2 linked regions of the Daphnia pulex genome follow. Each later gene encodes a partner of the first gene's protein in a complex. Links are inferred from orthologs where the notes say so. Each region holds a gene or a part of one and is shown on either strand. Other genes may lie near its edges. The genes, in order: integrin alpha-PS2-like and unc-112-related protein-like.

Evidence for each region.
Region 2: integrin alpha-PS2-like (region 1) and unc-112-related protein-like share a complex: the UniProt entries of both Caenorhabditis elegans proteins name them as parts of the integrin containing attachment complex. The link is inferred for Daphnia pulex from reciprocal best matches to the Caenorhabditis elegans genes pat-2 and unc-112.

Annotation. Positions count from the first base shown.
Region 1 is NC_060022.1:1,623,925-1,627,743, forward strand, and holds part of integrin alpha-PS2-like, read left to right. Parts: intron 1-1,953; coding exon 1,954-2,075; intron 2,076-2,140; coding exon 2,141-2,235; intron 2,236-2,311; coding exon 2,312-2,432; intron 2,433-2,510; coding exon 2,511-2,572; intron 2,573-3,017; coding exon 3,018-3,066; intron 3,067-3,791; coding exon 3,792-3,819. UniProt on the Caenorhabditis elegans protein: Required for muscle development probably through the regulation of the actin-myosin cytoskeleton. Component of an integrin containing attachment complex, which is required for muscle maintenance.
Region 2 is NC_060028.1:2,206,099-2,210,437, reverse strand, and holds the start of unc-112-related protein-like, read left to right. Parts: upstream 1-1,517; 5' UTR 1,518-1,941; coding exon 1,942-2,083; intron 2,084-2,905; coding exon 2,906-3,426; intron 3,427-3,512; coding exon 3,513-3,745; intron 3,746-3,827; coding exon 3,828-4,217; intron 4,218-4,291; coding exon 4,292-4,339. Other genes in the region: cysteine-rich DPF motif domain-containing protein 1-like, read right to left, coding at 1-54; putative transferase CAF17 homolog, mitochondrial, read right to left, coding at 166-1,278. UniProt on the Caenorhabditis elegans protein: Component of an integrin containing attachment complex, which is required for muscle development and maintenance. Probable regulator of cell-extracellular matrix adhesion. Required during initial muscle assembly to form dense bodies and M-lines.

The sequences.
Region 1 (3,819 bases):
CCAGCTGCTGGACCCTTTTTGATTGGGGGGAGATTCGATTGGCCGCACTGATTTACAATCAATTCCCCGTTTGTTTTCTATCAACACTTTGGACTCTTTTCTTCCATCTCGTTGGATCACGTCCCTCTGAATTCCTTGTTAGTTTGAAGATATCATCGTCAAGTCTTTCCTGTTCACGTCACTTTTCTTGCACGAGTCTCTCCAACTTGGCATACCGAAACACCTGCTGAGACTCGATTGACTTCTTGATCAACCCCAAAAGTTGTTTGTATATACCTTGTTTCAGTTTGGATTTTTTGGGGGTTTTTGACACTGCGTTATTCCACTCCATACGGGGGAAATAAAGCAAACGACATTCCTTCTTATTAGTTTAGAGAGAAACTGGTAAGACATCATTCAAAAAAAGTTGACATCAGGGACGTTGATATTGGACTCGTCGAGATATTATATAGAAGACTTGTTTACATTAGCCGCTTTCTTTCTGATAGGAGAGACTCGATTGAACTGTACACGTCGTGCTGGCGGCTCTTTCATGTCCCACTCACGACTATGTGTCTCTGCTTACACAACTATATGAATTTTATTTGAATCCACCCGTCTGGGGCTATTGCTATAAGGCCTTATCTGTGGATTTGTTATAACATGGTACACGGTTAAAGGCAATCCCCTGTAAAAACTTGTAGACCCCCCAATGATTTTTCGTTTATTCAAATTTGGTTGTCTTCCGTCGCCGCCATCTATGGATTTGTGTGTGTCTCTCGTTAGTCCGGAGCAATTCCGACAGAGTTCTCGTCGGGGAAAAAATGTACGAACACAGCGGTCGAATTATTGATCGTATATTGCCATATATTTTGACTGTTGGCCGGCATAAATAGCCGGACCGCTTCTCCTTTTTTTTCTTATTAGACGAGTTTGAAGTCCTTTTGTTTTCTCTTTTTTTGGGCCTCATCCAAATGATTAGCCTGTTGATGCGACCGGCACGTCTCAATTCGATCCTCGGCAGATGGCAGTCAAGATGCCACAATCTGAACGGGAAATAAGAACAATAGAATTCAAAATTCTGGTTTTTAACGATGGCAGCGTATAACAATGCCTGGCCATTTCTCAGCTCTTTTCTTGCCCAGTGTATTGACAGTTGAGTTTCGTCTGCGATTGTGATCGACACTGGACGTACAGTATAACAAGGTTCTGCAGTCAGAAAAAAAAGGGAGTTGGCCCACTAAAGGATTGCGTTTGAGAGCAGCAGCCCTTAATTGGGGGGCTCCAGTTCTGAACGATGCTATAAATATAACACACCAAAGAGCTCGCACGCTGCTGCTGCTGCTGGTAATCACGAAAATGGCCGATGTGAAATGAATGGGACCCCGCCGTCCAAATAGGGACACGACGAGTCGGACGTCATTTGCTCTCGTCTAAATTTATTTCTAAAAGAAAACGACTGGGCGTCAAAGTTATTAGCTCATCAATTCGACTTTTCGGTATTATATTCTACCTCCACCCCTGACCGCAGAGCTCCCACACACACAAGCAGCAACTTCACACAGCCGCTGTGAGGGATTAGCTTCCGGCCATATGCACTCGAAGAATGTTATGACAGCTCTTACGTCAGAATGAGTTTTGAAGAGGGTAGTGTCAGTGGTTTTTCTTCTTCTTTCCATATTCTCGAGTGGTTGGTTGGCCCCCCCCCCCCCCAGGGGGGCCAACTTCTGTGGTTTCTCTCGCACCTCTTCTTCTATCTGATTGTCTGTCACAGGTGATGCAACTGACGTTGTTGTCTAGAGACTATCGAATTTTCTTGGTCGGGCACTTGGAAATGTTGTCGTTTCCGTCATTTCCCAACGGACAGTTTAAACTTCCCGCGTCCCTGGTTGAAATTCGCTTGCGGAAGAAGAAACGCCCAATTTGTTTATTTGCCTTTAAAGTAATGAAATATTGATTCATTTCTCTTTGCAGGTTGTTGGTTGGAGCTCCGACAGCGCAGACGGAACAGCCGGGCGTCACCCGAGGTGGATCCGTTTTCCGTTGCAGCACAGAAATCCCCGACCAGTGCCAATCGATTCCATTCGACGTCACAGGTAAAACAAAAAAATCATTGCGTAAATACGAATAATCAATTTGAAATTTTAAAAAACATAAACAGGAAACAATAACGCGTCGGGACAACAAATCGACCAGAAATCGGACCAGTGGTTTGGCGCTACCGTCCGCAGTGCCGGACCAAACGGACCAGTTCTGGTCAGTTTAGAAAATTCAATCGTTCATTTTTGGTTATTATTTCAGTTTCAAAATGTTTTGGTTTTCTCTTATAAAGGCCTGCGCTCCCCGTTACGTCTGGTTCTCCAACAATTACAAGCGCCGTGAACCAGTTGGCACTTGCTTCGTCGCCCGTGAATCATTTCGGGAATTCTCCGAATATTCGCCATGCAGGACCTGTGAGTTTCTTTTCTTTCTTTTCTTTGCCACTCTTTAATTGAAATGAAATTCATTTGTTCTTTTTTTCATTTCTGTAGCCAATTGGGGATACCATCGTCAGGGTTCGTGTCAAGCCGGACTGGGAGCCACTATCACACCGGTACGACGACTTCCATATCTTTTTCGACAAATATTTTGAGAGAAAAGAAAAAAGAAATTATTAATAGGAAAAAATTGCTTATCTCATCCATCTCCTCCCGACTCCGGTTAGGGTTTGGTCTCTTAAAAGAAACTTTCTTTTTTTATTTTCCATCCGCCCAAGAAAAGGCGTTTGTTTGTCAAGCCACACACACAAAAGCCGATTGAAGTCTAAAGAATTTGATTGATTCCCCCTTATTGTATACAAGAGTTTAAGTATTTTTGTTTGTTCGTGCGTTTGCATCTGAAAGAATTTTTCTGGTGGGAAATGGTGGTTCAAGTCGTCCTTTATATCATCGCTACATGTTGATGTGTCTGTTCCGTTTGGCCGCCGTCGTTTTCTACGTGGCGATGACAGATGTTTCCATTTATTTATCGTGTTTTTTCGTTCGTTCGTTTTTTCCTAGGATGGGCTTCGAGTGTTTATCGGCGCCGTTGGCAGTTGGTACTGGCAGGGTAAGTTCATCCGACTACTTTTTTTTTCCCTACGAGTTTTGATTAGAAATCCAACAGGTTTTACATTCTTTCCCCCAGTTATTATTTTAGGCGCAAGTATTATCTTTAGTTTGAGAGACTCTCTTTTTTTTTATCCGAGTAGTTAAGTTGAAATACATCCTGTACCGTTTTGCGGAAGGCAGAAATTTTAGGGCGAATGTCCGGTTTCTGTTTGCATTGTGTCAATACCAAACACGGATGATGACCCCCCTAATAAGAGCTCGTCATGTTTTCTAATTGACAACGTTTTATTATCATTATGCCAATATTTCACAGCCCTTTAGCTTTGCCAAATGCTCCGGACTGTTTGAATTGCAACTTCCCCCCTTTCGTACAAGTCAAATATTTTTCTAGATCTTTTGTTGTACATATTGTACAAACATTTCGTGTTCTACTTTTCACCCCTATTTGATGACGCCGGATGTGTCACGCTCAAACTTCACCTGAAATGTTCATCCTCCCACCTCTCATCCCTCCTTGATTCCTCCACAATTTCCCACCGACCCCTCCTGAATCAAAAGAAGAGATTGCTGTGACTTGCGACCCTCCCTTGAAATATTTAATTCAAATTAAACCCCTTTTGGATGTTTTGTGCACTTATAAAAAAGAAAAAGAGAGTAAAAAAACATAAATATCACCTCACTTGACTGTCGGTTGTGTTATCACCATATCATCCACCCCCACAGGTCAGCTGTATTCGATCAATACCACAAA
Region 2 (4,339 bases), on another chromosome or scaffold:
TTCACCAAGTTCTTCAGTCGGTTCCTGCTTCACCACTGGATCAATCCTGTCCATCTAAGGATAAGTGAAAAATCAAAAGTGGAACAGAGAAAAACATTGTATTGTAACAAATTGAAATGCCAAACACATGTAAAATGTATCTATTGTGGGGGTAGTCTTTTTATTTTAAGAGCTAGATTCAAGTTGGGCGCGATCTTTGGGCGCTTCAATGGGCCACCAAGCCGGTCGGTGGGTTTCGATTAGATTCGAGTCGATTTTCAATTGAGAAGAAGAGAGGGCTTGTTGTATCCGCAAGAGGCCGAGACCGTAAACTGATCCGTGAAGATATCCTCGTAGTTTTCCCACCCGTTGTCCGTTTTCATCAGAAATGGTCGATTCTAACTGGATGGAATCGGAAGGCTGTTGGAAGACAACCGGCATCAAACGTTTTCTGGTTACACCCGTGTGGTAAGTCCTGGCCGTAAGTTCCTGTCCCAAGTAGCACCCTTTATGGAAGCTGACGCCGTGCAGGTAGTCGCAATTACATTCGAGTGGGAAACATGTGCCGGGTGGCATATCTCGAGAGCCTTCTCCCACACCAAGTTTATATCTGAGTTCAGTGTATCGATCAGTGTTGTCCACGCAGAGATTCTTTATTAGGTGACTTAGACTTTTGTTGGAATCAACCAACACTCGCCATCCCAGTTCCTTGACTCTGGGATCTCGGGCTAAAATGACTTCATTACTGAGATCTTCGGGGGGCTGATCAAAGAGAACCCAAGGCTTCAGTGTTTCCTCTACAGAGATAACCACCTTCCTTCTGACTCTGAACATGGTGAGGTGTTTTGCTAGAGATTCCGAGCACTCTGCATCACATTCAATCAGGTAGCTGCCAGATTCTTTTGAAGAGTGGATGATGGCATCGTAAAGTATTCTTCCCTGCCGGTTGAGGAACATGCAGTACATGTTGGGATTGTTATCTTCGTCCAAGTGTTTGATATCGTTTGTCATAAGACCCTGAAGGTACGGACCGGCATCCACTCCAGAAACTTTGACGATTGCCCTTCCTTTGAGTTCCTGTGCGTTTACTGTGCATTTCTGGTGAACGCGTCGAACCGAACTAGCGGCCACCGATCTCAGAGCAACTGCTTGAATAGACCGCCACATGGACGAAACTTTTGGTAGAAGGGGAGTTAAAATTGTTATCGTACCTTGCAGAGAGAGATTGAGCTCGATTGTTGAGCAAGTCGTGGTCGATTCGATTTGTTTACAACTAAAATGTAGGAACTCCAGCGCCATCTGACGGTGCTTGAAAATGTTAGAAAATCTCCTAATCTAGTCGATCTAGTCCAAGGTTTTTTATTTTTGTTTATCAGGAGATCGAGATTGCTTTCATCAGTGCGATATTGAGATTATAATGGAATGGAATTCAAGGCAGTAAGTATGAATGTAAGCTCTCAACAAACTATTATATTATTTTGATTCACTTTTTTTTACGTTTCGTGATCGATTAAAAGTTTGAATCGATTGTTTAGATCTGGAAGTGGGATTTTAGGGTACCAAGGCGTTAGTTACACGACTCTCTCATACCGAGTCTGGATGAAACGTCGACTTGGTCTTACGGCCATCTGTTTATATTCCAACACTATTCACACACAAGGGTTGATTCGCCCCCTGAATAAGTGATCACCTCGACTGCGTCAAGATGTCAACTAGTGATTGAACAATTTTGGAACTGTTCATTCTGTCTGAAAAAGCCATCGAACTATTTGAGTGTGTGTGTGTGTGTTTGGTGTTGGAAAGGAGAAAAGAGTTGTGTGTGTGTGTGGGTTGCCCCGTTTGTGTTGCCCATGTTTGGTCACGGACGGGCATCGCCTCTCTCTTGGAAATTATTGTTTGGTGCTCTAAGCTACAGGTGCTCTGCTGCTGCCTTGTGAGAGAGAGAGAGAAGAAAAATTCAAGATGATTGCCGACGGACATTTGGTCGGTGACGGGAGCTGGGAATTGAAGGTGTTGGTGACTGACTTGTCGGTCGAGCGATGTCTCCGGGTCAAAGGTGACCTGCACATTGGTGGTGTTATGCTGCGTCTCGTCGAGGAATTAGGTATGCAATTATTTGTTGTCCTTGTTTGCCCATATTTGGGGATTCAACTGCGAGGCTGACATCATCACGCCCCAATTTCCCAGGCGTCTGTTTGCTTGCATTTAAAAGACATTATGGGGGGAGCCATCTTGTCCACATCTGAAATGAGTTCTTGGTCGCCCACTAGCAGCTACTAGTGCTCCCTCTGTCGGCCCAGTCTAGCGCAGACAGGAAAGAAAAAAGGCGGCATTTAAAAATAGCCTCCCCTCGCGTCACTCTCTCTTACAATGGATCTCTCTTGAAAAATAAAATAAAAACCCCTCTGAATATAAATATATTAAAAAATCAAATAAAATCCGACAAGTCCTAGAAAGGTTGCACTCCTCTCTCTTTGATTCCGCCGTTGGCAAAGGCTATAAGCGAAATAGGGCGGGCGATTGGAATGCACAGTCTGGTGATCGGTATTCTCATCACGTCAAGGATCACTTGAATGTTTATTTTTGAAAAAAAGTTAGTTTGTTGGAAACACCGTCAGCAGCTTGTGTTATGTGCACATATCGCGGTTCGGCGTAACATCCGGATGATTTTACCCAACCACAAACGTCTCTGATTTCAGAAACGAAATTATTCAGGACGACGCCCTTTTTTTGGCCACCATGACCCATTTCATTTCCGCCCCATATACACCACCACCACCACCCACCTGAATGTGTGTGTAATTTCACGCCCAACATCACGTGATCACAGTGATGGATGTTTTGGAATAATCAAAATTTATGACCCCCCACCAGTCTATTTTATATTCACATTTTGTTACATCTTATCTTCTTTTCGTATTTTTAGATATTGCGGCGGATTGGTCGGATCACGCTCTTTGGTGGCCAGCTCGGAACTGTTGGCTGTCCAGGACCCGTTCGACGCTGGATCAGTATGGCGTCCAGGCGGATGCTCTGCTGCATTTCACTCCCATGCACAAAACGCTGCGCGTCCAGCTGCCAGATTTGCGCTACTTGGATTGCCGGGTGGATTTCAGCGTCAAGACGTTCAACGCCGTCGTGACGCTGTGCAAGGAGCTCGGCATCCGGCATCCGGAGGAGCTGTCGTTCGCCAAGCCGCTCGAGTCTGACGATTTGCGCTACAATTATCGCGAACGCGAGTCCAACACGTCGCACAAGAAGCGGACGGTGGCCAACAATTCGGCCGACACCAACACGTTCATCGGTCACCACGGCAATTCGACTCACAGTTCCAACAACAGTTTGGACAACATTAAGGCCACCTCCGGATGTACGCCCGTCCTGCCCAACACGACCATCAATCGGTCCCCGGCTCCCGTACCCACGCCCATCAGCTCACCAGTTAATGTGAGTTGTTGTTGCCATGTATATTTTTTCACGTTTTTTGTCTTCATAATAATAATACTAATCATCATTATTTTCTCATCCATCAGTCGGGCACGTGGAGAAAGAATTCACCGTATTCGACTCCGGGCAGCAACGGCCACAATGCGACACCATCCATCTTTGACATGACTGCCAACAACAGCCTCAACACGACGGCCAACAGCAGTTTCTCCAATATGGATATGTCGCTGGCGCTCAGTCCGGCCACACCCAGCCAGGAGGCCCGATCCAGGCTTCTTCGACCCAAAAACTTGATCGAACGGGCTCGTCTTAATGTGGCGTGAGTTTCTCTTATCTATCCTAACCCACTTTTATAAAAAAATCAGACAATATTGATTTATTTCCCGCATTATTTTCATCAGTTGGCTGGACTCGTCCTTGTCCATCATGGAGCAAGGCGTGCGGGAATACAGCGCGCTCCTGTTGCGCTACAAATTCTACTCATTTTACGACCTGAATCCAAAGTACGACGCCGTGCGCATCAATCAGATTTACGAGCAGGCCAAATGGCAGTTGCTCAACGAGGAGATTGATTGCACTGAAGAGGAGATGCTCATGTTTGGAGCCCTTCAGCTCCAAGTGAATTTACAAAGTGCCCAGCCTCAGCCGCTGAGTGACACTCGTGACGGCGACGACGATATCGACGCCGCCCTGAGTGACCTCCAGGACACTCTGGAAGGCACCCACGTTCACAGCAACACTAGTGACATCACTTCCATACCGGAATTGTCGGATTTTCTTCGTTACATGAAGTAAATCGATTTTTTTATTCCCCCACATTCGTTTAATACTTATTTTATTTTATTTTTTTAAATTTGATTTAAAGGCCGAAACGTTTCACCTTAAAAGGCTTTAAACGTTATTGGTTCGTCTG